3 linked regions of the Drosophila melanogaster genome follow. The gene in region 3 interacts genetically with the main gene of each other region. Each region holds a gene or a part of one and is shown on either strand. Other genes may lie near its edges.

Region 1 (9,750 bases), on a different chromosome or scaffold from region 3:
AGATGTCGCCGCCGTTCGCCATCATATAGGGTGCCGCCTGCGTGGGCACTGCGTACGGGGCGCGGTAAGAGCTGGCCACCGCTGCAGCTCCTCCGTTGAGCGACACGGTTGCCATGCTGGAGGACATTGAAGAGTACTGGCCATAGGCCTGTGGCTGTTGCATTTGCTGCTGCTGCTGTTGCTGCTGGGGAGTTTGCAACTGTTGTTGCTGTTGCTGCTGGGCCGCCGCCGCCTGCTGCTGGTTCATCGCTGGTGGTGGCATGTTGGCAAAGTTCATGTTGTAGGGCGAGAAACGGGAGCGCTTCTGATCAACTCCGTAGTTTGCAGCCGTCATCGCCGCCTGCACGGATGCATCAGGAAGTAGGTGTTGCTGCTGGGCAGCCTGAGCCTGTTGCTGCTGCTGGTGCTGCGCCTGTGGCGGTCCAGATCCCGGACCATTCTGCGGCTTGTTGGGCTCGAAGCAAGCAGCATTGGGATTGAAACGAGAGAAGGGCACTCCGCCGTTCTGCTGCTGCTGCTGCTGCTGTTGTCCCTGGTAGCCACCGCCTCCCTGGCCACGGTAGCCGCCCTGTCCGCCCTGATTCGGCGGAGAAGTGCGCGGCTTCTGATCGAAGCGTGGTGGTCCGCCAGCGCTGCCGCCGTTAAAGGAGTTGCGATTCATGGTGGCGCCGGGACCATTGTTGTTGCGGTAGTTGTTGCCGCCATTGTATCCACCGCCCATCTGGGGATTGCGGCCCTGATAGCCATTGCCGCCACGGTAGCCGCCACCCATGCCGCCACCGCGCTTGTTGTAGCCACCGTTCATGGCCATGTTCATCAGTTTGGGATTGATGGTCTGCAAACGGAGGAGGTGAGTAAATTTGCCATCGAAAGGATTGAAAGCTACGAGGAGCACTCACCTGGTTGGCCTCGCGCAGCACCTGGATCAAGTCGTTGGCCTTGTTGGCGTTGGAATGCGTAAACAGGGTGTAGGCGGTGCCGGTGTTATTGGATCGTCCGGTGCGTCCAATGCGATGAACGTAGTCCTCCGAGTTCGAAGGATAATCGTAGTTGATCACAAACTTGACATCGTCAACGTCTGTTTGATTTCAATAATATTTTTCATTTCGAATTTGAAAATTGAAGAATGTGAAAAGAAGCGTTAAAATTATCAAATCGAAGCAATGCGTCGAAAATAGGAATCTTTCTCAATACTCAAGAAACTATTTAACAAAAACAAAAAACTTATTTGTGTGCTTGTGTGAGTGGTGTCCGTTTCTGTCTTGGTGTGTGTTTTCATGTCATGGTATTGGTATTAGTGGTTGTTTGTGTCGGTGCGATCATTTGTTTTTCTTGTTAAGTTTGTTAATAGAACTTAAAATACATTTTTGATCGAATTGTCGAATGGATTTTGTCGGTTGGTGTTAGATCGGTTTAAATTTAAATTTTTTTTTTTTGGTATGGTTTTGTACTTTGAACAAAAATTTCGCCATCAATACTATTAGCGTATATTAATAACAATACATCTTTGGCAAATAGACATATGTTCTTTTTATACTGCAGAAATGTGGACCTCGACCTTTTCTTCTCATCATACTTTCTTTTATATCATTTTTGAATACACAAATCGTAATATAAATGTTTAAGCTTAATGCATACAAGAGACGGCTTGATTAAAATTAACATTATAAATAAGAGATGTACATAAATGTGAATGAATGATCAAAGCTTATGATAGAAGGGTGCTGATTTGGTTTAAAAGGAGGAACATACTTCGATGGAAGGGAAGGGGGAACGAGGATGCGGGCATATTGCTATGATTAGGAAGAAATAAATTAGCCTAGTACTTACCCTGGCGATCTAGGGTTAGAATATGGGATTAGAATTAGGCTTACGAATAAGAGTCCCTGGAGATGGTGTCCTCGCAACTGGGCCGTGATGATGGAGATCCCACGGATCTCCGCAATGCTAGAAACTTATAACTCAACCCTCAACTTGTATATATAGCTTTTCTCTTTAACTGCTTTGTGTATATAACTTTTTAACTTTGAACGGGTTTTTTTCTTTTTTGTCTAGTTTTGCCATTTGAAAAATCGAAGTCCATTTCATAAAGTGCTGATGATATTTTTGTTCACACACAAATTTAGGTATTATACATAGAGTAAGGAGCGACGTAATATAGTATACTAGGTACTTTATGATACATAAATAAGCTACAGAAAATTATCATCAGTCAACAAATACTTGGGCCGCAAAATGTTGCAAATGTTACTCAACACATTAGTTACTTCACATTGTTCTAGAAACTAAATAAAAAAAAAACTTAAGATATATATATATAGTTATAGTTAAGGCACGGTTTAATCGCTTTGGATTAAAGGTTAATTTCTTTTGGGTGCACTGAGATTACTCTTTAGTTTGGGTTTTTTGTTTTAAGATTATTTTGCTGGCCATTGACTCCTTGACTGACAGTAAATCGCTTTTTTACAATTAAGTTACTCAAAATGTGATTGACGAGACACAACTAAAAACTATGAGCAAGAGAGCAACAAACGAACTAAAAGTAACAACATCATATAACCAGCAATGCATGGAGAACAAACACATTCCCCTCATTATTTGAGCCCACACCTTTTCTTCGGATTCGTAGAATCATTCAGCAAACTAAAGGGTTCAATAAGTTAGACTTAATGGTCCACCCGGCATCGAACCACTCGAAAATGATTGAAAAATAATAAATGACAATTTTTCGGCTGCCTACAGATTTGAACATGCAATTTAAAAAAAAAATACAAGCGGTCCTTTCCGGTTTTCACGTTTACCAAATAACATTCTTTGATAGATGGTAACCAGTAATGAGCTCATTTAACTCCGCATAGCTACCCAAAACTTCATTTAAAATATAACATAAAATAAAAATTTGTTTACAAATATTTAACCCCCATATCTAACCCCAGTTAATTTCGAACACAGCTAGGCGAAGATTTGCGCTAGAGCTCTTAGATTAGGCTACTGTTTACCCAGCTTAATTAAATTAAAATGAATACAAACAAAAAACTATGAGTATTATTTACACACTGAAGCAAGCGAAGATTCCATCAATGGACCCCAAAATGGGAATCATGCGCTTTCAGCTTCAAATCGTGAATAGCTTGTGAAATCCGGAACAGACCCGAAACGAAAAACCTCCAAAGTTCTGGAAACAGAGCGGAAGGAAGAGCGAAGAGGCTGGGCGGTGTTGGCCGATTCATCGCTGACGGATCGCTGAGACCAGACGAACCAGGAAGGCGTCGACGACGAATCACAAAATAATGAATGAAACCCCACGGGATGCTGATTGATCCACAGGCAACAATTGCTTGGTTACGGAGAGAAAAAACGAAAGTTGGCCCCATTTAGGGCCCCACAAAGGCTACGTATACTCACCGAGTCCGCGGGCAGCCACATCGGTGGCCACCAGTATCGAGTGCCGGCCATTGCGGAAGCTCGAGAGCACAAAGTCGCGCTCCTGCTGCGACTTATCGCCGTGGATGGCGCATGCGCGCCAGCCCTGGCGGGAGATATTGCGCGTGATCTCGTCCACACGCTTCTTGGTTTCCACGAAAATGATGGTCTTGGTCTCGTTCTCCGCCGAGATGTCTGTTAGCAGCTTGATCAGCTTCATCAATTTCTCATTCTCATCGCACACGTCCACGATCTGGAGGATGTTGTGATTGGCGCTCAGCGAAAGCGAACCAATGTTCACCTGTATGTAGTTATTAAGGAATTCCTCGGCCAGCTGGCGCACCTCTTTGGGCCAGGTAGCTGACCACATGAGTACCTGACGGTCCGGTCGGATCTGCTGCATGATCTTTCTGATCTGGGGCTCGAAGCCCATGTCGAGCATACGATCGGCCTCGTCAAGCACCAGATAGGTGCATCTCTTCAACGAGGTGGTGCCGCGCTCGAGGAAATCAATTAGGCGACCTGGTGTGGCAATTACAATCTCCACGCCGCGCTCCAAATCCCTAGCCTGCTGTCCCTTGGGCGCTCCACCAAAGATGCAAGTGTTGCGCACATGCGTGTTGCTGCCAAACTCAATGGCTACCTGCTGGATCTGCTGGGCCAACTCTCTAGTGGGAGCCAGGACCAGGGCGATGGGTCCATCACCGCGCTCCAGGCGCGGCTGGTTATTGATGTGCACCACCGCCGGCAGAACATACGCCAAGGTCTTGCCCGATCCGGTCTGGGCCACGCCCACCAGATCCCGTCCACTCATAGCAATGGGCCAACCCTGGGCTTGAATGGCCGTTGGCTTGGCGAAACCCTGCTTACGGATCTCGTTCATCACGTAATCGGGAAAGCCGCCCTCCTCGAATTCAATACTGGGTGTGGGCACCTGATCGCCCTTGATGGTGATCTCATTGCTGGTGAGGAAGGTCTCTGTTTCACCGACAGTCCTGGCCAGCACCGAATCGCACGGCTTGTAAAAGTTCTTGCGGAATGGCGTAAGATTCACCTCAGACCAAACGATCTTGGGCAAGTGAGCGCCATGATTGGAAGAGCGCTGGCCCCCGTTCTGACCACCGAATCCATCCTGGTTGCGTGGTCCGCCGGGTCCCATGCTAGGACCACCACCGTTCATGCGTCGCTGTCCACCGTTGGCGGGTCCATGACCATTGAAACCTGGGTATGGGGCCGAGCGATTGCGCTGGAACATGCCCGCTCCGCCGGGTCCGCCACCGGGAGCACCACCGCCCATGCGATTGGGCACCATACCGCCGGCTAGGCCACCAGCTCCTCCGCCGCCACCGCCTCCGAAGGCGTTCATCTGTCCGTTGTACCTGCGACGAGCGTTTTGTGCCATAAAATTAGAATTTTGAGCCCTTTAATGCGTTGCCAAAATGTTGAAATTTACACGAAGCGACCTTTTTTTATGTAATTTTCATTTTTTACTGCCATTTTGAATTTATTGATTTTCGACACTCGGCCCCTGGCCGCATGCTAAACCGAAATTTGGGCTTAAAAAATGTGTGCCTGTGTTTCAATACTCACATGTTCATTGCTGGTGTGATGTAAGTGGAAATATAGCTGGCCAAAGTATAGTTTTTTCGGTCACTTTTACAATTTTTCACTCCACAATTTTTTCAGCTTCTACGTCGTCAATAGAGCTGTGGAAAAAATCGGTGTTAATATCGATTGGTTCGATAGGTTAGGTTTTCTGGAAACATCGATTGAATTTTCTAGAAACGATCACAACGAATAGGGAAAAATGTCAAAATATTTGTTAGTAGGAAACTTTTAATATATAAATAATTATTGTGAACGTTTCTAATAATAACAAATTAAATAAAAATAATAACTGAAAAGAATATGGAACACTATTAAGAGCACTTTAGAGCACTATGGTTGCTAGTTTGTAGTTACTTCGTTGTCTAACCAGTATTTTTTTAATGCGGCACCGGTAATTAACAATAAGAACTATTAATTTTTTAAGCAAAACAAAGACGTCTGATATTGTTTGTCTGGAACCTATCGGGTAAAGCAACTTCGATAATAATGGTCAGCAAGAAAAATGTGACCAGCCTATAGAACGACCCAAAAACCAAAGTGTGGACATAAATTGGAATATTACAGTGATCGCTCAATGTAGTTAACCTGTAAATTTCTATCTGTAAAGTAATAACTAATAAACAAGGTTCTAATAATGCAGTTAAAATATAATTTATTATTATGTAATTTCCCTTCATTTGTTAAGTATCTTAAGCCCGCAATTATGACATACAATACGTGCCAAATGGTTTTCGCTTAATCGTAGCTCTGCTGTACTTCATAAGGTAAATAAACATGGCTCAAGCAAGGGATTCTTAATTATCAAGTTCAAGCTAGTTTAATTCAATTTGGTAGCCATGCGCACCAGTTACAAGAAAAACAGACCTTTCGACTTCAAGCTAATTGATCTGGTGGAACCCAATCCTGTGCTCTATAAGAGATCTGGACTCTCGAACTACGATGCCATGAAGGCGAAAACCGATATCTGGGCTCGCATAGCCGAGATGATGGGCTGTGATGGTAAGTCAGCTAATAAAAGAATAAGATATATATATTTAAAGTTATAATCCTCTTAGTGGACTTCTGCCTGATGCGCTGGAACAATCTGCACTATCAGTTTCGCAAGGAGTTTCGCCGCGCGGACACCAGTGGATCCACCTGGCCGTACCTGGAACGCCTGCGATTTTTGGCCGAGATCCAGCCGCCCTCCAAAGTGAAAACCAAACCCAAAACAAACAAACAGGAGGCGACCATCCAGACGGAAACTCCTGTGCAATTTTTGTGGGACACTTTTGAGGATGGGGATGTTCCACAGCAGTCGAGTACGTTCATAATCGAGGAGGTCATCGAGGAGCCCAGTGAACAGATCATCCAAGAGGAAATCATCTACGAGGAACAAGAGCCCGCTGAAATAATCTCGCCCAGAAGCAGCTTTCTCCAGATGGACCAAATACTGGCCCAACTAAAGGAACCGCAGCGGAGAAGGGCAGAACGAAGGATTACAGCATTTCTGCTCAAGTGCCAGCTGCGTGCCTTGAGTAATCAGTCCGTGGAGGACCTTAGCATCTAGTTTCCAGTTCACATACTCTCAAACTTTATTTTTAAAAAACAGAATATAACTAAGATTAAACCTTGCACTTGTCCAATTCCAACCATGCCACTTTCGGCTTGACAATGAACTGATCGCGCGGCAAACTGTCCAGCATGCTGGCCTGCTGGCGGACGTACTTCACCAGTCGCTCGATCTGCGCGTAATCATCACAGTTCATCTCGAAGAAGCGGCGCCACAAGGCGCAGGCCAAAACCCGATCGTCGGACATGATGCCCTCGTCGTAGGCGATTAGGGCCGCTTGGAACTGCTCGGATAAGGTCTCGATTTGCTGACGGGTGCGTGAAGGATTGTGAGCCTGTTGGGAAACACATATGAAGAGCATAAAGATTATATATATAAAGGTGAACTAAAGTAAAACCTACTCCCAATTTCTTGGCGCGTGTGTTAACATCTCCCCACATCGCCTCCACAATGCAGTTGCGCAGGAAGCGTCCATCCTCGCCCGTTTCGGAGCCCTCGGCCATGGAGCGCATCAGGAGTAGCCAAACATGCAGTTCGGTGACCAAGAACCAGGAGTTAAAGGTATTGGGCAGATTGAAGTCGCGGAAAAAGGTCACATAGTTGATCTTGTCGGCGACGCTTTCGTACAGCAGATGACTGGTTACCTTGAGGCGCTGAAATGGGATCACTTCGATGAATATTAATCAAATGGGCAAAGTAATCCGAGTCCTACCGCCTTTGTGTTCGGTGTGAAGCCCACTTTGTTGAGCACTCTCTTCAGAATACCGCCTTCTGCGGCTTCCGCTGTGCCGGGTTTCGTTTTATTGGTATTATCCACAACGCCGGTGGATGAACACAAGCGGCATGGCTGCTCCAGCAGTCCCAGTATCGCTGGCCTGTGCTTATACGTATGTTGTGTTGCCTATAATATGTTTAATTTAAAAATTTTATATCCGTTTATATAAGAGTTGATGGCGGTGCATTCGGATGACCGTGTTTTGACTAAATAAAGTACAACCCCTGCTTTAAACATACCCATGCGGTTCTCGCTAGGCCGCCGGCCAGTCTTGCAACTGCACGAGTGCACTGCATTCTTAAATGTATCCTAAATTTACTAAAACAAAATCGTTTAAAAAATCCAATTGCACGCGACAACAGACTAAAACAGCTGATCGTAACGGGGCTGCCAACTTGGGTATAACGACATGTTAACAGTGACTTGCTAACATATGATTAACAGTAACAGATACAAATCTTTGTAAAGAAAGAAAAATGTTTTTTTTTTTGCATGTGAAAAGTAATAACTATTACTTTATTTTTTATATACTTTAAACCTTTGCAGTCTTAATTCATAAAATCAAGAAGAGCTTACATTCGGAAGTGGTGTGACCGCATGAAGTTATTATCCGTTCATAACAGTGCAAAACGGTCTTACTATCAACTTCCAGTTGGAAATGTAAATAAATAAATAAATAGAAAATTTAGAGCAAAATAAAAGAAAGTATGATACGTTTGGGGAACCAAATGTGCCGGCAAGTGGCCTTTAATATACAGACTGTATTCCGAAACCCGGGCACCGCGAACAATCCGAGATTAATCACCAGAAAGATGACACAACAGCGACCGCCGGTGAATTGGACAACCAGTATTCCCAATCAGGCGGCGAAGGACAAGGAGAAGATAGCTCCTTTGGGATGGTTCCTCCTGGTGGGTAGACACCAACTCCTCTACCTATACACACAACTAATCCTTGTTGTCCATTAACCAATCCCCAGCTCATACCGGCCACCACTTTTGGCTTGGGCTGCTGGCAAGTGAAGCGCAAGATTTGGAAGGAGCAGTTGATCAAGGATCTCAACAAGCAGCTGAGCACGGCGCCTGTGGCTCTACCAGACGAGTAGGTTTGCCCACATATTCTCCACTATATACCCACCCACTATAGTGTATTCCCTCCTGTAGTCTCACTGACTTGGCCCAAATGGAGTACCGCCTGGTCAAGATCCGTGGACGTTTCCTTCACGACAAGGAGATGCGCCTGGGTCCGAGATCGCTGATACGGCCCGATGGCGTGGAAACCCAAGGAGGACTCTTCTCGCAGCGCGACTCGGGCAATGGCTATCTAATAGTAACCCCTTTTCAGCTGGCAGATAGAGAGTAAGTTGTGCTCAAGGAAATCCCATAGAATCATCTTAATATCGTTTCGCCCCCAGCGACATAGTGCTCGTCAATCGGGGCTGGGTGTCCCGCAAGCAAGTGGAGCCGGAAACCAGGCCGCTGGGCCAACAACAGGCGGAAGTGGAGCTCACCGCCGTCGTGCGCAAAGGAGAGGCGCGTCCGCAGTTCACACCCGACCACAAGGGCAATGTCTATCTCTATCGCGACTTGGCGCGCATGTGCGCCGCCACAGGAGCAGCTCCTGTGTTCCTGGACGCCGTCTACGATCCGCAAACGGCTGCACATGCTCCAATCGGTGGACAGACACGCGTTACCCTGCGCAACGATCATCTGTCGTACCTGGTGACCTGGTTCAGTCTATCGGCGGCCACCTCCTTTTTGTGGTACCGCCAAATAGTCAAGAGGATACCCTTCTGAAAAAGGGAACCCAAATCAAACGCACTGTTGTTATTTTTATTATAAAAATTTACATGCTCTCGTGTAAATGCTGGTTTTTATTGGCCCGCCGCAGGAGGGGATTATTGTCCTGCTGGGACTTAATATTGCAACTACCGATCCTCGAGTGGCGGATCGACAGGGGAATAGGAATAGGAATATGAATACAAATACGGTTCGAGGGTTTCCCTTGCGGGTGTGCCTAGTTGAATACTTTAACTATTTAGAAACACACTCGTTAGTTTGGGTCGATATGGGGAAAGCTACATAATATTATATTGTCTGATCAAAAATAGTTACTACGTTTTATAACTTTGTGGTTAATCAATCATTGCCTTATGTTGTTCAAATAAGTAATTCGCTTTCTAGTTATATACAGAAATGTTTTAAAAGCTTATATCCTTTAGAAACTAATATACAAAATGCAAGAATTCAACTTTACTTTTCACTTAAAACTGACAGAGTCCTCTGATGATTTGAAACGATTCTATTCTCCTAAACATGATTCAACTTAAGCTTAATCGACCCAATCTAACATACACTCAGCTACAGAAAAGAATACGGATATTTACAGTTTA
Region 2 (11,032 bases), about 25 Mb from region 3:
AACACGTTTTCGTGTACATTGTAATGATCGATTGGCGCCCTTTTTGTCTGTGATGTATTACGTGCGACAACGGCGACTGCGGCACGTGTACCACACCAACTCGCAGCCCTTTTGGTGGGCGGAGAAGCACCTGGGAGAGGGGCGTGGCGACGCACACGCACTGAGTGGCAGTCGACCTTGGTGACGTGCGTCTGCCTACGTAGCTCGCTCGGGCTCGCACTGGGTTCGAGATCCATCACTGGGAATCCATCACACAGCTGAAGGAGACCACAGACATGGGTTTACACCCAATTGGAAGTGGATAACATAAATAGAAAAGGGGAACCTTTAAGGAAATCCCTAGGAAATTTACGAATATTTTTAAACTAAATACCATTGCAATAGTTTTATATTTCTAATGTTTCCAATGGTTGCATAGTTCACATCGCAAGATATTCGATCTAAATAAACTTTATTTGATTTAAACTGGAAAGCACTTTCTCTGCTTTCAAAACTACATTTAGACATTCAAGTTCGGAAATGAAAAAAAATGAGGTGAGCAACGCTAAGGTGAATGCATTCTGGCTGAATCTTAGGCAAATCAAAAAGTAGCAGAGCAAACTATCCGCGAATGGATTGATTCCATATTGACTTTTCCTATCAATATTGCTGATTCAAATTGGAATTCGGTGGCGACAAGATGCGGTTTTTTCGACTTTTTCTGTTCATCGAGTTTTGCGCAACCGTATTGTTTGTTTTTCCCAGCAAGTTGCTTGACACATGTATTTTAGCACATTTCTAAACAATGACGGAATTTTGCAAGCCCCTGGAAATGAGATCACGTCGGTCCGACTGCGCTAATTGTTTGATAAAGAACAACACATCCCGCCGCAGATTGAAATCTCGGAGCTAAGGCATTCGCTAAACTCTGATAACACGATTTGAACGATACGCTTGCGTATTCCCGGCACGTAGGCAAAACGCTCCGGACCTCCCGGCCGAACGGACCACCCACCCACTTCGGGCGATAAGAAGGTAGAAAATACTGCACCTGACAAAATCGATTTGCAACAGTAACATAGAAAAATGAAGGCTTTTATTTGTGTATCCAAGTAAAAAGAAAATATCATAACTATCGGGTGGGAAGTTATCTGAATTAGTTCATATGTTGCACTTATTAGCTACAACTGCACATCCAGGAACACAAAATAATTTACTGCACAGTGTGGGGTTGATGATGACTCAGCCGGATTGGCTGAAAGATAAAATTACGAACAAATTTCTATATGTGCTCCGATGTGTGCGGTTCATGTTTGTTGTATTCGTTAATGCCGGGGTGCAAAGCAAAATAAATAAGCGAGTATTAAAGATTTGGACGCAACAAACTGCGCAACAGAATAATTACAAAGTCAGCACCTCCGCCCGGAAGAATGCGAGTCCGGCTGCGATTGCAGGTGCTATCAGATCGGGCATGGGTGCCATATACACTATGCGGCCGGGCACGTAATGCCGAAGGTAAATAAATACTCGACTCGAGAGGTGCCATCTCGGAGCAGAATGTTAGCAATCCGGAGACAGTCAAATCGCAGGGCAATTACGAATCTCATCTGACAATGCGATGAGTTGAATGGGAAAACAAACTGTTTCTATTTTTAAACTTTTACGTCTGAGAATATCGGACAGCCTATGTAGTACGTGCAGACATCAATCTAAAACCAACACCAAGTGTTTGTCTCCTAAAGAGTCCTTTCCTGGTTCCCCATTGGATTGGAAGCTTTACCTTGAACACCTGTAATATTATATCATATGATTTGTGTATACTTTAACAGCAGCAGTTCCAAAATGAGCCATGGTTTGGCTAATACAATTATACTAATTCACCCAAGCGATCTAAGATGATCTAGCAGTGCTATTCAATGTTTTGATTTGTGTTATAGGACCTTTTGCGAGGTAACTAGTATAAGCTGTATATCAACAACCAATAAATCAGCTGCGAAGAAGCTTGAGGATCGCGAAAACCATAAACTTCAGCGCCATATGAGCGATATGTCATCAGCTGTGTCATGTTCTGCTGTTGATTCGTGAGGCTTCTCAGGAGTGGGCACGTAACCGCTTATCGTAATTGACTTGATGTGCAAGTGAAGACGATAGGGGGCTACGAGCAGGAGGATGCACCTAGTGGGGTATATTTGGGGCTATAGATTTCGCTCCGGGACAAACTGCAAACGCAACTTCAAGTGTGCGGTCGGCTAGCTAATCGCGGTGCTTGGTTCAGTTACATTTAATAACTAGTTATCAGGTGAAATCATGGCTAATCAAATTCAAGATAAGCTTGCACCAAAACGTAGAAAATCTATTCTACCGAGTCATTTGGATGTTTTCAATAAGATATTGAAAATAACTCATCAATATCTGAGTGGCATTTTTCTTGTACAAGTTTTTGCTCGATCTATGTACGTTGTCAAGAAACTGTTTACACACTGTGAAATAAGTTGAATTTTTGACTTTAAAGCTAAAAATTAAGGGTTTTTTGCTTAATTAAACGAAATTTTTTTAAATAATATAATTAAACAATATTTATTTTATTTATAAATCAAAAAACAAATTCAAAATATTAAATATACAAGAAAATAAACAACGAATTCCAAGTTTACACACTTTTAAGACTGTCAAGAAACTCTTTACACATTTTGTTTTCCTACTTTGTTTTGTTCTTTTTCTTAGAACGAACTCGATTTTTCCGTTATTTTTGGCTTTGCATTGCTTTTTACAACGCTTCTATTGAAATTTGTTGACTTTGCTTGTGAAATTTTGCTGATCAAACGTGCTTAAAGCGAATTATTAAATTTAATAAAATGCCTGGAAAGAGATTAACTTTTGAAGTTACCCAATTAATAAACTATAACCACCAGTTGGAAAAATCTTTTCCAGAATTAGTATAAATGTTTCCTGTATCCCGTAAGACCGTCTACAATGTTTTAAAAGGCTCGGAAAAAGAGGGCAGGCTTGAACCTAAGAGTGGTGGTGGGCGGAAAATTAAAATTAAAAAGCGTGTAGACTGCTTTATTATGCGAATAGTGATTGCGAACCCCCGAATCTCGGTCAGATCACTTGCTCTAGATATCAGGCAAGAATGTCACCTAGCTGTGTCACACGAAACTGTGCGCCAAGTCATCCTACGCCATAGGTACTCTTCAAGAGTTGCAAGGAAAAACCCTTTGCTATCAGATGCCAATATTGAAAAGCGTCATTTATTCGCAGTGAGCATGATGGATCATGCGGAAGAGTACTGGGATGACGTCATATTTGGTGACGAAACAAAAATGATGCTCTTTTATAACGACGGGCCAAGCAGAGTATGGCGCAAACCGTTGAGTGCGCTAGAAAAACAAAATATCATTCCAACGATAAAATTTGGAAAAATGTCACTGTTGGTTTGGGGCTGTATCACCAGCCGTAGAGTGGGAAAACTAGCCTTAATTGAGGGCACAATAATTGCCGTGCAATATCTAGGAATTTTAAAAAACAAATTTGAAGGCCAGTGCAGAAAAATTTGATCTAGTTAGCAACAACAAGCCAAATTTTATATTTTAAGAGGACATGATCAGAAACATAAAGAGTGCAATGTACGCACCTGGCGCCCTTATAACTGTGGTAAAGTGATCGATACGCCCCCTCAGAGTCCTGATCTGAACCCCATTGAAAATTTGTGGACCTACTTAAAGAAGAAGGTGGCAAAAAGGAACCTAAAACACAACAACAGCTTATGACTGTAATAGTCGAAGAGTGTGAAAAGATCCCGTTTGAATATGACCTGCAAAAACTTGTCCAATCCATGAAAAAAGGGCTTCAACTTGTAGCTAAAGCCAATGGGGAACATACTACATACCAAAACTTTTAAAATTTTAATAAAATAATTTAAAAATTTAGGATTAAACATCGATTTAGTGTTTTGTGTAAAGAGTTTCTTGACAGTCTCAAAAGTGTTTAAACTTGGAATTTGTTGTTTTTTTTCTTGTATATTTAATATTTTTAATTTGTTTTTTGATTTATAAGTAAAATAAATATTGTTTAATTATATTTTATAAAAAAAATGCGTTTAATTAAGCAAAAAACCTTTAATTTTTAGCTTTAAAGTCAAAAATTCAACTTATTTCACAGTGTGTAAACAGTTTCTTGACAAACTGTATATTTCGTTTGTAGGACCATTGGTAAATATTTGTATCTAGTTAGAACGGACGTAAAAGTCGTAAGGCAACATTCTCAAAGTTATGTATAATCTATAAACACACGTTTTTAATCAAAGGCCATATTGGTCAAAAGCTGATAGCACATATTCGCAAAACAAGGAAAGTTCACTACAAATCAAGTTTTGAATTAATTACGGATTCTTTTGGTCAGTACATCACCCGAACATGGAGTACAATCGCCAGCCGTGTCCCATCAGGATTGTAGAGGATTGCGGGTGCGCCTTTATGATGGGCACCATGGGAGGATCGTTGTTTCAGTACCTCAAGGGATTCCGAAACGCTCCGTCCGGTCTTCGACGTGGCTTGCACGGCGGTATAGAATCGGTGAGGTTGCGGACACCGGCCATAGCCGGCAGCTTTGCCATTTGGGGCGCCACCTTCAGCACGGTGGACTGCGTCATGGTCTCGTACCGCCAGAGGGAGGATTCCTGGAACGCGATTGTCAGCGGAGCGGCCACTGGCGGAATTTTAGCCGCCCGGAATGGAATTCGAGCCATGGCCAACAGTGCCTTTGTGGGCTGCCTCGTTTTAGCCATGCTCGAAGGAGCTGGAGCAGCAGTGGCTACGATTTATGCATCGGATGGAGGAGTCAAAGCAGAGGAGTCCCTAATCACTGTTGACCAGCAAATGCAGAGACCCCAGTGGGAGACATCCGTTGCTGATTCGAACCTAACTGGGGCGGAGTTAGAGCGGGTGTTGGATGAATGTCGGGCATACAGGGCACACAACAAGATGCAGCAGCCTATGCGTTCGGACGCAGTGGAGGGTAAGGAACTGGGGCAACTGATGAAGCCAATGCACTCGTTGGTCGATCTGGTAAAGCTGGCCGAAATTGTCTGATAGAAAAGCTTTTAAGGTTTTAAGTCAACCTCCCATGCTTCTTCCAAATTAAGTGTTAATTCGATATTCAGCGTTAATCTTATATTATTTTTAAAAGCCCAGTAGGTACAAGGAATGATTTTCTATCTCATGGAGAATATTTTTCCATCTTCAATAAAAGATCAGCTGATATTTGATTGCATCTAATAAAATACTATGGCACTATGCAGGCTCAAAAGAGCTTCTAAGAAAAATATATCTCTTCTAGCGTGCCACCATGAGCAGTATTATAGTATTATACATTTTTAACTTATGTTTTAGCATAAAACTGTTGAAACTGAAACATCTGACCTGTCCACTGACGACCTACCTTCCTGATCCCATGAAGCTGGCATCCGCCAGACCGATTTGATAGCTGGAGCTCTTTTCGCCATTATGGTGATGATGCTGGTGCTGCTGCTGCCTTTGACCTGTTTCCGTTTCCGCAGCTGCAGCCTTCTCCTGGCTGCCCGGCTGCCCGAGGAGATTCAGCAGGTTGTCTACCTCGGCGGGCCAACTCTGCGCCTGGTGGGCAGGCGTCATCATCTGGGCGGTGGAGCAGTTGGCGCCGGCGCCGCTGCATTCCAGATTGGCAGATGCCACAGCTTGTTGCAGTTGCTGGATCTGCTGCCGCTGCTGCTGCTTATTGTTGTTGCTGCTGTTGAGCTTTTGGCGGGTCAGGAGGCGGCACTCGGTGCGGTGGTCGGGCCAATGGAGATGCTGGTGGGCGGGGGAGCAGTAGTAGACGGCCTTGCACTTGGCGCAGCGCAGTAGTTGCTGCTGAGTGCCGCAGATGGAGCAGCGCGGCGGGTCCATGGCCGATTTGGATGCGGAGTGGGAGCCGGAATGGCTTGCTGAATCCCTGACCTTTCCGCGACCCCTGCTCATTGCATTTTGCGGGAGAGGAGAGCCAAAGGCGACGACCGATTTTAACCTTGACAGCTCTCCCAGCTTTTTTTACCCCACCTCACCTACGCCAACTGAGGCAATCACACACACACACGCTCGCAGATTATGGCTATTTGTTATCAATGCGAATTACGGCACTCGGGCGTTTTAGCCAACATTTCACTTAAGACTGTTTGTGCTTATTTTAATCACGTAGGCCACCGAATTTGCCAAATAAACAAAAAAAAACGCACATACAACGCACACACACAGACGCACGGGCAGCTATATGTGCATTGTTGTTGGTTTTTCCTGCGAGTATTCTCTTTTGTAAGACGTTTTAGGGTTGCAACTTTTAACCCTATTGACTGTTTTATACCCTGCCTTGAGCTCTATTACGCCCCTTGTTTATAAAAACCGCGTAAACTGTGCAAAAAAAGGGAAAAATTCTTAACTCAGCACTAAAATTTCTTTTTGATAGCGATGGGCGTCGACCGATACTTAGCGTGCAGCGATTGACATGTACTCGTTGTACAGCACTATTACCGGCGGGCAGTAGGTATCGATAGCTGAACGAGCCAACGTTAGTGGTGATTATTTTATACTGGCACTTATATACTAACGGTAATCAAAGCTTTTTATTTCGCTATTTTTATTTACTAGCTTTAATATTTAATTGCACAAGATTCGGAAACAAAAAGCTATTGGGAAAATTAACTCAAAGCGGCCATTAACCCCATAAGAATTACTTTAATACAACTTCAGTCGATCGTTTATCAATTAAGCAAGGTCTCTAAGAATGGCAAATACCCTTATCGTCTATTCCAATACATTTATATATATATATTTTAAAGTCGATAGTCGATAGCGCGATGTGCCATCTCCATTATCAAAACTAAACAGATGCTGGGCGGAAAATCAACTGGTTCCTCGTGATAACTTAATCCCACTAATAAGCGCAATGTCGTCCAGTGAACGAGTGGCCAAAGTGGTGCTGGTGGACATCGAGGGCACCACCACTTCGATTAGCTTTGTGCACGATGTCCTGTTTCCCTACGCCAAGCAGAATGTGGAAAAGTTCCTGAGGGATTCGTGGGAAGAAGATGATATAAAGCGTATTGTCCAGGATCTACAGCAAGTGCCCCAGTATGCGGACTACAAGGCCCTGTTAAGTGGTCCACCTACGGAAGTGGATGTAGATCTGATTGCAGGCTTTGTGCGCTATTTAATTGATCAGGATCTGAAGGTCACGCCAATGAAAACGCTGCAGGGCTTGATTTGGGCGCAGGGCTACGCTAATGGAGAGCTGAAGGGCCAGTAAGTTCCCCATTCAATATTCTCCTATCATGGCCATATAAGTTTTACAATCTGAACTCTAGAAGGTTATCAAAGAAAAGGCTTACTTAACGTCTGTTCCCAAAAATAATTTGGGTGTCTTTCTGAGATCCAATTATACAGCTTGGTGATTTTTTAAATATGTATGCTAGCTATATTCTCCGCACGGGAATGTTTAACTTTTGCTGATTTCAATAGTTATCAGATAACATTCAACATAGTAACCAAAAGTACAACGCAACAACTCATTATTATTGATAATTAATTAATTATCTATAAATGTTATTATAGTGTATACGAAGACGTCCCTGCAGCTTTTGAGGCTTGGCGTGCTGCTGGCCTCCAGATTGCAGTCTACTCCAGCGGCAGTGTGGCTGCCCAAAAGCTGATATTCGGTCATAGTTTGGCCGGGAACCTGCAGCCGTACTTGAGTGCTTATTTCGACACCCATGTGGGCCACAAACAGGAACAGCAGTCCTATAAAAACATTGCCAAGCAATTGAAGGAGGACCCGAAGCAGATACTCTTTCTCACGGATATTCCAGGAGGTGAGTGGCTGATCCACACGAATCCTCATCCGTAACATTTTTAATGTGAAATTATATTTTAGAAGCGGCCGCCGCTCGCTGTGCGGGCTTGCAAGCCATAATTCTGAAGCGTCCTGGAAACGCCGCCCTAGCAGACGATCAAAAAACTGGATTCGAGTTGATTCCGGACTTTAAACCACTTCACAACCTGAAAGTTCCGGTCAATAAATCCCAGGCTTAGGTCATTCCAAAAAAGTATACATATATTGTGACTATGTGCTTGGGAATTAGGTGAATCTCTAGAGGAAAGCTCGATCTGCGCTGCACAGGTCGTCACCGCTGTCGTGGCTGGGCGTCTCGGTCGTGAGCCCCTGCGGCCGTCGTTCGGACCGCTTGCTTCGTTGAGACTGCCTCGAACAGGACTTTTCTGAGCCATAGACCTTACGCAGTTGCTGCAGCTTAGTATCCGCATCGGGAACAGGAAACTCTGACTTTTTCTTCCTACGTTGCCGGCTCCCCTCGCACGAATGACGCAGTTCCTCGGTCCGGCAGGTGTGGGTGAGCTTGCCCACTTCTGGACCCCAGAACGTGGGTCCTTCCAGAAGAAGGGGAGCGGATTTGACCCGTTGACGCATCATCTCCATATGCAGTTCGTACTGACGCTCCTGAAAAGCCTGCTCTGCCTTGCGAGTGGCCAACCGAATGGATAGCAGTGCCTTGTGGGATTCGCTAAAGAAAGAACACTGAATGTGTGCGAAACTTAATATTTGGTGAACTACTCACTTCAAGGACAGTGATTTCCAAGCCGGCGTTTTCCTCACCTCCCAATCGAATTGCGGACGAGGATCATGATAAGTGCAGTTGTTCTTCAGCTCCTTAACCTTCTTCCTAGATACTTCAGCCCTCAAAGTTGCCGCTAGATTAGGACGAGATACCGGATGCAACGGGGACACACTGGGCGTTCTCCTCTGGACCGGTTCCTCCGGCAACTCATAGATGCTCAGCGGTGGTAGTGGCTTCTCATCCTTTACGCTAGACCCTGGCTTTGGTTTCCTTACTCTTCCGCGTCTTCCTCGACCTCTTGCTGCGCTGGAAGCACTACTACTTCGCTTCGACGAGGTGGTGGGTGATTGAATCTGTATCTTGGGAATTTCCTCCTGCTTGCTGAGTGGGAAATAGTTGCTTCGCGCAGGCTGAGCTAGTTTGGAAGGCTTCGAATGAGCCTCTAAGGCAATCCCTTGAAGATCATTGACACTAAAGCACCTGCGCAGCATTTCCCTTCGGCACTTGGCCCGTTCTGCCGTGTGCTGGCCAGGATTGGCAGTCTTCTGGCAGCGGTTCTGCGTCTGACTTTGCTTGTTGGTTTGTGTTTGAGTTCCGTTGCTGCTCGTGGACTTTGGCCTGCGGAACTCCGCTTCGAAGCTCTTAAGGGACCTCTTGAAATCCGCAACCTCCACTGCAAAGTCCTCCTTAAAACTTTTCAGACGACTCAAGTCCCTGAGGCACTGGTCGTACTCGTCGCTTAGACAACTGGAATTGGGAGTATGGACAACTGGGCGGGTAGCGCATCTATCCTGTTGGCCGGGGATCACTAAGATTGCTGGCGGAGGAACAGGATCCAGCACCAAAGGACGTTTCTTTATCTTTTTCCCCTTGGAAGGCCGCTTTTTAGACTTTCCATGACCCACAGAACAGCTGCTGACACTGGCACTTCGCTCCACAGTTGGAGCAGTTGCTGCCTGAGATCGCAGTTCACGGCTGGTGCTTCGCAGGCTCTCCAGAGTTGAGTAGAACTCAACTCGGTGCAGGTGCTTCACATCACGATAGTCTAGGGAAAGCAAAATAATTGTGGTGAGTATGTGTCTTTCTAATTATCCATCTTTCTTATTTTAAATCATTGCACATTCATTCAAAGACTAATGAAGGACAAAACTCAAGGTAAGTTGAATTTGAAACGGAAGAGCAAGAAATCCTTTAAATACTAACCCCGAAGATTACATTTCAAGGTGCAGACATTTCCAAGCTGAACTCACCAGGTATACTGTCGTAGAATTTAGCTAGGGACCTGACCCCCATCTGGCTGCTCCACGCAGGTGTCTCTGCCTCTGGCTGCGAAATGTGAGCCTGGTCGGTCGGCTTCTTTCCACCAAGGGAGCTGAGCTTGGGCCGATTGTATACCGGAGCCGGACAGTTATTGCACGGATCGATGGGCACTTTCACACAGGAATTCAGATAGTGCGAGCTCATGCTGCGGGAAGCTGAAGTGTTCCTATTGGAAAATCTTTAATTGTTGCAAACGCGCTTTATCAATACCAAGCACAACATACTGTTGTTGCCAGCGGTAACCTCCCACTGTTTGTTTTTGTGCACTTCCGTTTTGGGCACACCATTCGCCAAGTCACGCACCGCATTGCTGTCCTGGTTTCGGATGCACTTCGTCTGCGCAACCGCAAGGGCTGGGAAAATCTGAGTTCAGGTCCCAGTAAGCTAGATACCCTTCCCCAGAATGTATTAATTGATTGATATACTGATGTTTGTGTGAAAGTTCCGCAGACCAAGTTGTAAAGAAAATCAAAAAAATATTTTGTGGTCCTAACAAGTCATACACCAATCAAGCGGTAGTTAACCAAGTTTTAATATGATATGGTTTTAAAATAAATAAGTAAGTAAGGAGTTTTTTATTTATTCAAATTCATTACAAGTTAGGGAATTAAATCAAATCGTACTGAGTGCTTAAATGGGGAATCAATCAATGCGATTTTAAGCAAGAATTTTGTATAATTTTTGCCACTTACCAGCACCAATTAAAGAAATTATGTTTTTTGGCCTTTTTTTAGATTTCGCGTGCTCCTTGGGCTACGCTTTAATTGATGAATTACTTGCTATGATCGGACAGCAACTATGCAGACTTTCATTATCGTTTATTTGTATATATGTAGTAGGATGGTACTAAGTGGTCTTAAAATTTATGGTTCAATGAATACAAATTCTTTAATAAATTATACGTTAATCGTTGAAAAGGGTGTTAAGGGTAGATAGATACGCTTCATATCCTATAAATTCTTGATCAGGGTCAAAAGCCTAGTCGATCTGGCCGTGATCATCTGTCAATATGACCGCCTCGATCTCGATCTCACTAAAGAAAGTTGAGATTAGGGATGCAGACGTAGACGCATCGCAAGTTTTTTTCCCGCA
Region 3 (10,889 bases):
TTGGACGATGCCACTTACCGCTCTTGAAGGTGGCCATCAGGCGTTCGGAATCTGCTCCATGCTGGCACGAAAACAAAGAGGTGTCAAGTAGATCCTTGGGCGAATATCCCAGTAAGTCATGCATCCTGAAATCAAAGCAGGGAACAAATGAGAATTAATGTTACTATCCTCTAGACGGGTTCCCATTTTGATGCTTTTCTAGGCTGCTTAATATGTTTACGTAATCTATTAATTTGTGCTTGTTCATTATGAGTAAGTAAATGATAGTTAAGTGCCACTTTTGGCAGAGCAATTAGTCAATCCCTCAAAAAGAAACCTAAGCAGTTATGGTTTTTAAAATGGGATTTGCGTCTTTAATTCTGTATGTATCTCACTTGTCATCCACATAGGTGAAACGCATATCCAGGGAGTGTTTGGTAAGGAAGGTGCTAGTTCCCAACGGAATCTCAATGTTCGAAGGATGCGGAATTGGTCGGCCAATGGCCATCAGCAGACGTTCGCCCTTTGCATTGACCACCAAGTGTCCCGTGATGTGAATGACCTGAAAACCCCAATAAGGCATGGGTTAGTTGGTGCTATGGTGTCTCAAACTCATTTAGCTCACCTTATACGAAGCGCTCTTGATGTTGATGCTTCGTCCACGACTGGTCAAGGTGCACTTCAAGCGCACAAACAGATCCCGGTGATGGGTGCTCACTCCAGAGTTCTGCTGCGGCTCATCCTTGACCTTCTGGGCAAGTTCACGCTTTAGGCTGAGAGCCTCCTTGATCTCGGCGTGATCGCACTGGTGCGAGTACTCCCAGATCTGTTGGCCAAGTGTGTCAATCTGCGCAAAGTTGAGAGCAAGTTAGAATCTTCTTCAATGAAGTATTTGGATACATTTACCTTGGTGATGCCCAGATACTCGACTACGTTTTCGGACACGTAGGTGATGTCTCCCTCGTGGGACAAGACCAACAGGAATCCGTCCATGGTCTGTTTGAGGAGCTCTCTGGCCTCAGCTCCGTTGAGCCAATCCTCAGTGCCCACTTCCAGCTTGGGCTTGACTTCCTGCTGATCCTCTGCAGTTTCAATGTCCTGCTTGATGTCATCATTGCAGTCGCGCAAGCTGGGCACTGAAATAAGTAATATATTAGATGGTGCTAACAAAGATTTCACATCCTAAGGGAAACTCACCGAACTGCAGCATTTCGCGAATCTTGAGGAAAGCGATGGTGATCCTCATCACGGAGGCCTTGTCCAGTTGGTTGACATCGTCGGTTTTCAATGGCAAAGCAGCCGAGAGTTCCATGAATATCTCTGTCTCCTTGGAGCGACGACATCTAGCCGCATCGCGAGACTTTTCCTTGCGTTTTTCATTGTTCCTGCAAAGATCGATCGGATGGAAAATTAGCATAAGCTCAAAACGAGCACGTACGCCAATGATCAGTGGGAAAAGGGGGGATCTAGCACGGGGGAGGCTGCCTGAAATATGCGTGCATTTGCATGGCTGCACTTTTATACCCGTTTGATTGCTTCTGATTCAATTCACGCGGCCAGAGCTCGCAATTTTTCAATTAAGCAAAACGCTTGTAATTTTCGCGTTTGTTGCCAGGTCGAGCGAAAAAACAAAAGTCGATCGACACGGCGCCAAAGTTCTCGGCAGCTATTCCTAGCCGTCTTTTCGAAAAACACTAACTAATAACAAATAAATAAATAAAGATGAAGATCAAAGTAAATGCTGGTAATCAAAATACTACTGCAGAACAATAAATTATATTCAATTCTAATAAAGCCTCATATCTGAAAAGAATCTCAATGTCGCGACTTTGTAAAAGTATTTTTCTTTTCAACGATGCTGATAAGGAATTTCTACGCATTCCTCATCTACAGAGTCTTAAAAAACATTCGAAATAAATCCAATATTGCCTAGAGGATCCTGACATACAGAGACGACCTCCCTTGGGATGGATACCTGTGCATTCCGAGCTGGCAGAAGAGCCCGGGGACTTAGATAGTTTATAACGTCTGTTTCGGATTCCGAGAATAGCCGGCAGTCACACGTTCCACTGATAAAAAGTGGCTAAGTTGCCTTGGCACCAATTTTCGTGGTGGTGGTCTTTTGGAATATTTCGCCAGGGGATTGACAAAACACCGATGATTTGGCAATTAGCGACTCTGCAGAGTTAGTTGTCTTCGCTGGATGAGTAAGTCCCATTTAAACCCTGGGTATCGACTCGTCTACATTGGCGACGTGTTTTAATCGGCAACCAAGCAGGCAAATCGATCGTACACACTTGTAGGACGACAGAGCACTGACCTCACACACACGACTGACACTATCTTTATGCCAATACGAGTATATTGCGGGAAATTCTAAGAAAAGACGGATGGCCCTCCCGCGGGACTGCGGAAAAACTGTAGTCTGCCAAGAAAATCTCTTGAGTAGCCGCATGCAAGAACATAACTCGTGGCTCTTAATATTTTCTTTATTATCGATATAGTGGGCGAACTTGTATAATCCACGGGTGACGCCCATTTCAGCACGTATGTACATTTATTTCCTGGCATTTTGTTCAAAATTTGCCAACGCTGCTTTATTGATCCGCTGGGATGAAAAAAGACCTGAACACGTCAGGTGGTTCACTTGGGAAAATCTGCCCGGTAACAACGCGAAAATATCAAACTTTTTTGTTAACAAACCCTAAGTACCGCCTGTCAACGGAGGAGTCGCAATCATCAAAAGTCCATCATATCAGCCGACAAAGTCACAGTACAATATGATCTATTGTCAGTCTGCCGCCTGTCTAATAATGGCTTAAGTATCTATTAAAAACAGTATTCCCGTTTTCTTTTACTGTAAGTAAATAAATTGAATAAATCGAAGCAAACTACTTAGTTGTTGAACATAATCTTCTATTATGACATATTTAAATATGAGATAGGACCCCACTAATCGATCGATTGTAAACAGAGGAAATCTTAACATAAACAAATGCTAAACTTGACTTTGCACTCGAAAGAATTTCTATTATTAAAAGAGTATTCTGAACGCCCAGATAAAACGTTGATTAGGAAACTCTGTGAAAGTGAAGAAACAATGCATTCAAATAAATCAAAAATAAATAAAACAGAAACCAGTTTAGATAAGAGGGCTTTTCATTGTCAATCAACCAACTGATGGATGGAAACCAAAGTTTGAAGCGAAACTCGAATGGCTGCTCAAATAATTATTATATAGTATTATATTACTTCGCCAGCAAAGTGAATACTAATATAGGCGTAGACCCGTGGATTTCTATATATATTATATATGCATTAATAAACACAAATCCGATAGTTGCTAGCTCGTGGCCCATAGAAAGCGGCGGAGAGTGACTTTGAATTGCATGCTAATGGCCTGCTTAAATGGTGGGATATTCGCCGGGGGGGTGGGGTTTTGGTTTGGGAGGTATGCACATACATATATATATTTTCGATCGGCCCCATTGTCTGTTCATTAGAACAGAGGCAAGTACGGCATGTTAAATATTCTGCCTGCGCCAGCAGAATTGCCTTGTTATTGCCGCTGGTGCTGCTGCTGTTGTTGTTGCTAAGTATTTCCGCTCCAAAGCAGCTCAAAACACTGAACAAAATTAAGCTATAATATTGAAAGCACACCTTAATATGTGTACTACCCTTCCGTATGATGATTATAATGATGTAGTATGCTGATCTTAAGATACCATTTTCCGCACTTTGTGTATGAAATGAGTTTGAATATGCAAACACCACGATCGCCGCACGTGGCCATCTAAGTCCTGCTGGCTTATCCGACAACACCTTAGGATACTGACCCGCTGTTGTTTGAGTTTGAATTGCGAGCATTGCGAAATGTTGGCCAAGCTACCTCCAAGTGCGCCGTATCTCCGGGCGAGATATCAGCGAAAACACATAAAATACGACTCGAAGTGCTAATGCCAAGTTCATGGGACAGTAAATCGAGGCGCAACAGCGGGTCAGGGATGTTTGGTCTCTTCTTGGGAGCACCATATTGTGGGTGGAGTTCTTCGGGCAGCGCCGTCCTGCAATTGCGTCAGTTTGGTTTCGGCTCATTAGCATGGAGATGGGCCAGCCGAATTTGGCTTAAACGTGTGCAAAACGTAAATAAACCAAATCCGACTACCATTACGAAAACATTTGCTTGCTGCGCACGTTGCATGCAAAGTTTTCAAGGAGGTGAAGTCCAGGGAAAGGGGCTGTAATCTGCGTCAATCGCCAGATAATCGTATACATCAACCAGATGGATTGTGAAACCTTCAGCAGACCCCTAACGATAACTCCTTGGGAAATACCCCACATAAAATCATCGGCGGCAGATAACAATTACACAACAGCACAACTGACAAGCAATTTACTATTTCCACGCAACAATCGAAGTGAGAGAAAAAGTCTTTTCCAGCCCACAATCTTATAAACGGTACCTCTCTTGGGAATAACCCACCGAACCTTGACTCATACGACACCTCTCTCGCGCCATAGTTCCGTCCCCCTCGCCCTATCTTTTGCTGCGTATCTAAATATTATTATAAAAGCGATTCACAAATAAGCATAGATAAGTGCAGCGCCGTTTGCTTTCGGCTCGGGTTTTACAATGGAACACGGCCAATTTTCTAGGAGCTCAGCTCGTTCAGGTGCCTCCAGGAAAATGTAAATCGCTAGCGGCATTCGGCCACCGATTCTAACTGGTTTTTGTTTTGTTTACTTGAATGAGCTAGAGCTCTCCACAGTTATGTAACAACAATTATTAAGCAAAATTGTGTAAATATTCGTACTTGAATACTATTTGATAATGAGATTAAGGAATACCCTTCGTGAAAAACGCAAAATCACAGAATTACCCAAAACAACAAATTGACCAACCACTTTGGTCGTCACTCACATGAAATCCTCGATGTCGACAAACTGGGAGAACTGGCAAGGTTGAGTGTTCGTGGGCGCGTAGCCATAGCAGTAGGCGTAGCTCCAGGGGCGGCTTTCGCGACAGGGCGTGGCCACGTTCAGAAGCGATCCCCTCTGGCGATAGAAGGCGTCCTGGGGCTGCTGCTGATGGTACGGATGGTACCTTTGCATCCCAGTGGAGGACATATTGGGGCCGAGCATAGCGCCCACGAAGGGTTGGCTTCCGGGAGCAGGGCCATTGTAGAATGACCCGTTGCCAAAGTTCACAGTGGGTTCATTGATGGGCATTGGCCCAAAAGCTGGGCCATTTCTGCTCAGCTGCCGCTGCCGCTGCGGCTTGGAATCGCACTCGTAGAAACTAGAACCGGGGATCACATCTTCGCCGTAGAACGAAATGTCGCCGGTACACGAAAAATCGCAGCTCTCGAAGGAATTAAACATTGAGTGCGCTGGAATCCGGCTAAGCCCATCGATGATGAACACACACACGCGTGCGATAAGAGCTGATAGTGTTTTGATTTGGCCACAACTTCACTGCTCCGGATATTTTGGTAGAACACGACGTACGGGAGTTCGAGCGCTAAATGAGCGAAAGGTTCCATAGCCTCGAAGCCATCATATTTATACCTGGGCAGCCGCACCAAAAAAAATCGCAAAAGAGCGGAGAGCCGACGTGAACGTCATATTCCGTGTGCTATCAGACAAGTTTGCCTATCCGGACAAGTGCGCTCCGGCCGGAGTGATAAGATAAAGTCCGGTCCGCCCGCCTCGTAGAAGCATTCAGGTGGCAGGGAGCCAGCGCTTCGGTTCTGCCCAATGGGACGATAACAGCGAATCGAGTGAGTGGCGGATTCAAATTAGAGCCATATAAATTATGTCAGTGCGCCCCACTTCAGTCGATAATTGGCTCGGACCATATAGTCTACTTTGCAGCGACGCCGGAAAATTTCCGCACGTCCAGGACCCATTTTCCGCCCATTTCCCTCGCTCACAAAGTGCAGTGCACGGCAAAGTCATGTTATAATTTTAGAATCTCTGCACCGAGAAAACAGTGCCACTCACTTCGAAGTGAAAATTTGATATAATATTCCAAAATTTTGAGTATTTAACCGCAGAACTGATGAACCATTTTTAGGTATTTCGAAAACTAACCAAAATTCGCACACACAAAATGAGAAGAAATATTAGAGAATTGATCTTTTTCACTGTGCGAGAAAAGCTGCTTGGATGACTAAATACTATCAGACTTATCCATGATTTCCCTAGTCGGCCGATAAGAACTATAACATAGGAGTTAAATATTTGGATTAGTTTGGCAAACAGCACGGAAAGTGAAACGAGATAAGGGAAGCTAGTTCCCCAGACCAAGCAAACGTAATCAAATCGCAATGTAATCAGCTCGTGGAGAAGGCAAAGGAACAGGCAGGGTCAACTTAAATCACTACGATAACCCCTTGTTTACCTGTTTATGCTACACCCGTCTATCACTAAACTATTTCGATGTTTAAATGTATTTCATATAAAAAAACAGTAAAAGTAGTTATTAACATTGTGAGCTTCTTGGGCTTCTCTTTTTGCAGATTGCCAGGAGTCCTTGTGATCGTTAGCTATGGTCTCATCTTGCATCATTCAAGGACTATCTTATAGAAGGTCTGTCAATCCTTTAGGTTGCTACAGTAACACCCGACGACGACCAATTAATTCGAAAGATGTCGTAAGAAGTTCATTGAGTTGTGGCAAGACCAGTGGTTAATACTTAATCCAAAGGAATAGCTGTTTACAACAGAACATCGTAAAGATCTTATCCATTCCCAAGAAAGAAGTTCCTTTGTTCTTGTTAATGTTGTTAGCAAAAAAATGACTTCCAAACAGGTTTCGCAATAATCTTAATCCGAAATTTTTGCTCATTTCACAAAACCTGTGGGGAATTTTCAGCGACTGATTCCAATTTATCGCCTTAAATATAAATTTAAACTTTCCCTGCCAGCAATTGCCGAATCATAACTTACACCGAATGCGATGCATATAGACCTCACACGCAACTGAACAAACGAAAAAGATTCGGAAGCTGCGCTACCTTCACGCTGTCTCCCTCACTCCGCTTATATACGTCTCTCTCGCTGCATCAAGTTCAATTTCATACAGAGAAAGAAAATTAATAGACAAATATATTGAATATGGTACAGTAAGACTAATTTATCTTTTTCTAAGAGAGCGACTGAACTTCGGATTTTACTATTTGAAATTTGATTACCAGTTATTTTTTTCAGTGCTCCAGTAGCAAGCAAGAGTGTAAGCATGTAAGGAGAAGAAGGAGAAGATCAACAATAACTCCACGAGCCTAATACTTGAATACAATGCCATCCATCTTTCTCTTTCTCCCTACATATACAATATATATGTAGTAGCACCATAACACCCCCTCGGGCGTTTCCATCCTCCCCGGATCGTCACATTTTTAGTTCGATTGCGCAAAAAGTAGGTCGTCGTGGCCAGACATGAAACAACAACAACAACAACAATAACAACAGCAGGGCATATCATTTAAATATTTTACAATACACACATGCTTGTGTGTAAGCGTGTTTTACTTTTGTGCGTTTCTCTGCGTTGGTATTGAAATTTATTTATTGCCGACTTGTTTTTAAGTTTATTCATTAGCTTCTTGGCGCAGGCCTAACAGCTTATAGAAATAACGTAAATAGAAAAACAAACATGAAAAATCTTGATTCAGATTCTTTCCTCCTCCAAATTCCGCCAACCAAGTCAACTTGTAATAATTCACTTTTATTGAGGTCACACCGTAGCTGCAGTTACGATCTGTTCAAGATCGCGTGTGCTGCAATCGAAAGAGTCGACCGATAGGCAAAAGGTTAGCGATGAACAATCGGAAAAATCGATGTTCAAAATGTTTGGGAAAATGCAATAAGACAATCTAAATTGACGTATTTCACATGGTGAGACGACTTAAGTCAATTGTTTTCATGTGTCACACTGCAAAATACATTGGAACCAGTTTGGAACAAATGGGAAAGACTCGATTTGTCGGTCAATGGGTCTAATCGAAGCTAGAGCGCATTTTGAAAATGGTTATAGAACCGCTTTTCGGCTTTTCCACACTTATTTTACTGCAGTTTTACGGTAGTCACGTAGGCCAAAGCGAAACTTTGTTTCAATCCAATGTAAATGTCTTGAGTGAAACATAAACTTATCGGTTTATGGGCTTATAAAATAAATAAATTTAAGTATTCGGAGGGGCGTGGACCAAAAACGAAAATAAAACAAAGCCAACAAAACGAAACACGAGGAAAAAAAACGGGTTGATCTTGGAGCAGGGGGGGCAGCATAATCGAACAGGTTTTCCTCATTGTGTTTTGGGTTTTCGCCTCACTTAAAAATAACCCATAAGTGCGTAAGGAAAAAGAGAACAATGCACTCGTCTAAAAATAAATCGCATTCAACGGGGGGGCTTGTCTTTGTGAGCCCTTTAAGGATAAACCTTCTCAAGATAGCAACAAGTGTTTTCAGGCCTCTCTTCTTGCCGCAATGGGCACTCATTCTCCTATCGTATACCCCCTAGATATCATATTCCACAGCGGAAACCAACCATGCATATGCAAACTGAACGATTTCGGTTCGTCTCGACTTTTGTCTTTGAAAGCCTGAAGGTCGCGGGTCTCGGCCATTGGATTCGCCGTCGCCATCGATCGTATAATAATTGCCGCGAATGCAAAAATTAGTTGAACGCGTGATTAATGATTGGCTTTCCATTATATCCCAATGCCTGTTTCGTCAATTAGTGACGCCCATTGAGGGAAGTTCACAAATTCCAGCCAGGCGGGAATTGAAATTCATTAAGTGAAATGCAATTCGCTCCCGTAAGGGTTAAAAGCGCTCTTATTTTTGGCTCAAAATCAGGCAGTAAGGTTGACTCATCTATAAGATACTGATTGCATACGAAACCCATGAGGACCTCAACGAAAGAAAATCAATCAATGTTGATAATTAATTAATTAATAGAGTGGAAATATAAATTAAATGTCAAGACTGAAATGTATGTGTAAGTTAGGTGTCCAGTTTGTGAAAATAAACGAATAAACATTGTACGTAAGGGATTCCCGATTGGCACTAGATTCCATTGATGTATCAACATTCTGATTCCAGATTGTTAAAATAAACGAAATACCGCATACGCACTAGGAAATTGAGAAGAAACGCGAGAAGCGGCGGATGGCAACGAAAGCCGCGACGAGCAATAATATCGCGACGAAGAGCGGGCGAAAAAGAAAGCAGGCGCTTATGCAATGGGCAAACAAGCGATCTAGGCAGATCCAACCAACGGATGGGATTGTAGATCGGCGGTATCCGGATTGCAGATTCGTGTGACTCACCTTCTTTTCTCCTTTGGTTTGCCGCTGGCCGTGAGATTGGTTTTTGGGGCGCCAGGAGATGGGGAGCCAACGGACGAAGATGGTGGGGAGGACGAGAACGAAGAGGAACAGGAGGAGGAGGAGGCGGAGGTGTTGGTGACCACCGCTTGGGACTGCTTCTGTTTCTCGGCCGCCGCTTCGATTGTGTCAATTAATGAAACCATTGTGTCTCCGGATTTCAAAGTGCGGCAGCATTCAAAAGATCTGCCGATGTGGAGGTTCCTGTTTTCCTTATCGCGAGTTTTTCCAGCACTTTTTGAGACTCTTCGTTGTTGTTTTCTATTATTTATCGCTGTTACTTTCGTTGTTTTCCTATGTATGAAAACTATTGTGCGCTTGTATTGGTTTCTGCGTTTGTATTGTTGTCACTACGCACACACACACTCGCACACACTATAACTCTGTTTTCCTGTTAAACCGTTATTATTTAATCACTTTTACACCGTTCACCTCGATTAACTTTGTGTATATCTGATTTTTGAGCCACAAAAAACAAAACACAAGGTTATATTATTATTTCACTGCTGTTGCTGTTGTTGTCGTTGTTATTGTGGTTGTAGTCTCAACTGGCCAATTGCACTTTGCTTTTTTCGATAATTCGGATATTTTTGTTATTGCACCTTGAAGTTCTGCACCGACTTGATGTTGAATTCGCGTTTAAGCATCTCACAAACGCGATTTATCCGCAATATATGCATTTTACACTGCGCCTACAGCATTTTTCCTTTCCACACGAAATCTTAATACGCTTTTATTTTTCCGTTTTCTTTGATTGCTGCTTCGTAAACAGTGTGGCAGCAGGGTGGAAAAATACTGCCAACGAGGTGGGAGCGCTTCGAGTATATACCAGAAATACACAACATATGGAAATAACGGCCTATTGGCTACAGTGAATACAAGATACATTTACATTTTTTTATTTGTGTATTTCGCTATTTGTAAAAAAAGCGAGAATTTAATTGAGAAAACGAGTATCTTTTATTTCTGAAATAAGCACTATGCTGTTTCAACAATATCTCTGTTAATTCCAGACTATCTGGCTGATAAATGTTTCCCAGTCACGATCGATAGTGTGGGGATGGATTGAAGTTAATGACAAGTTTTATTTATTTTGTACGAAGTCACACCTAGCTCTTATCTTATGTACTCCCACCTAAGCCTTGGGCACCACTGAACTGCTATTGGGGGACACCAGCTCATCGCCGCCTCCGTTGTTGCCCACATCCGCCAGCGGATCCGCGTTCTGGCCACCAACTGAACCGGCATCCGTGTCCAAGGCCTCGCTCAAGCCATCATCGTCGTCGTCATCACCGCCAGATTTGTTGTACACGGTGGGGTACTTCTGGAAACAGTCGCGCATCTTGGTGAAGGCATCGTAGCAGTCCGATCCCTTGGGATCGGCGGTGCTGTTCTGGAAGCAGGAAAATGCCTCACGGAAATCGACGCCACAGGGACCGGTGGCCATGCCGCCGAGGCAGGGACAACTCCAGTTGATCTTGCCGTCCTTGGTGATCACGCCCTCCGGCTTTTCCGGCGGCG

What was found.
Region 1: of sima (region 3) and Surf1, changing one suppresses a phenotype caused by changing the other (phenotypic suppression), as found in Drosophila melanogaster (one study listed by BioGRID).
Region 2: of sima (region 3) and Hph, changing one suppresses a phenotype caused by changing the other (phenotypic suppression), as found in Drosophila melanogaster (one study listed by BioGRID).

Annotation. Positions count from the first base shown.
Region 1 is NT_037436.4:6,950,368-6,960,117, forward strand, and holds Surf1 (surfeit 1), read left to right. Parts: upstream 1-7,978; 5' UTR 7,979-8,065; coding exon 8,066-8,269; intron 8,270-8,337; coding exon 8,338-8,459; intron 8,460-8,521; coding exon 8,522-8,716; intron 8,717-8,772; coding exon 8,773-9,154; 3' UTR 9,155-9,219; downstream 9,220-9,750. Other genes in the region: CG10077 (uncharacterized protein), read right to left, coding at 1-835, 900-1,078, 3,406-4,802, 5,014-5,021; CG9948 (uncharacterized protein), read left to right, coding at 5,868-6,030, 6,087-6,580; Uqcc1 (Ubiquinol-cytochrome c reductase complex assembly factor 1), read right to left, coding at 6,636-6,917, 6,985-7,236, 7,296-7,484, 7,598-7,654. UniProt on the Drosophila melanogaster protein: Probably involved in the biogenesis of the COX complex.
Region 2 is NT_033777.3:5,252,508-5,263,539, reverse strand, and holds the start of Hph (HIF prolyl hydroxylase), read right to left. Parts: upstream 6,504-11,032; 5' UTR 5,976-6,503; coding exon 5,419-5,975; intron 5,205-5,418; exon of another isoform or gene 5,070-5,204; coding exon of another isoform or gene 4,395-5,069; exon of another isoform or gene 4,381-4,394; intron 1,015-4,380; exon of another isoform or gene 848-1,014; intron 1-847. Other genes in the region: Tim17a2, read left to right, coding at 4,395-5,069; Enoph (Enolase-phosphatase), read left to right, coding at 6,937-7,292, 7,602-7,858, 7,921-8,078; CG1113 (uncharacterized protein), read right to left, coding at 8,137-8,566, 8,621-9,665, 9,871-10,084.
Region 3 is NT_033777.3:30,057,550-30,068,438, reverse strand, and holds the start of sima (uncharacterized protein), read right to left. Parts: upstream 5,518-10,889; 5' UTR 5,362-5,517; coding exon 4,901-5,361; intron 1,365-4,900; coding exon 1,177-1,364; intron 1,116-1,176; coding exon 886-1,115; intron 827-885; coding exon 605-826; intron 542-604; coding exon 375-541; intron 126-374; coding exon 19-125; intron 1-18. Other genes in the region: CG7950 (uncharacterized protein), read right to left, coding at 10,504-10,889. UniProt on the Drosophila melanogaster protein: Functions as a transcriptional regulator of the adaptive response to hypoxia. Binds to core DNA sequence 5'-[AG]CGTG-3' within the hypoxia response element (HRE) of target gene promoters.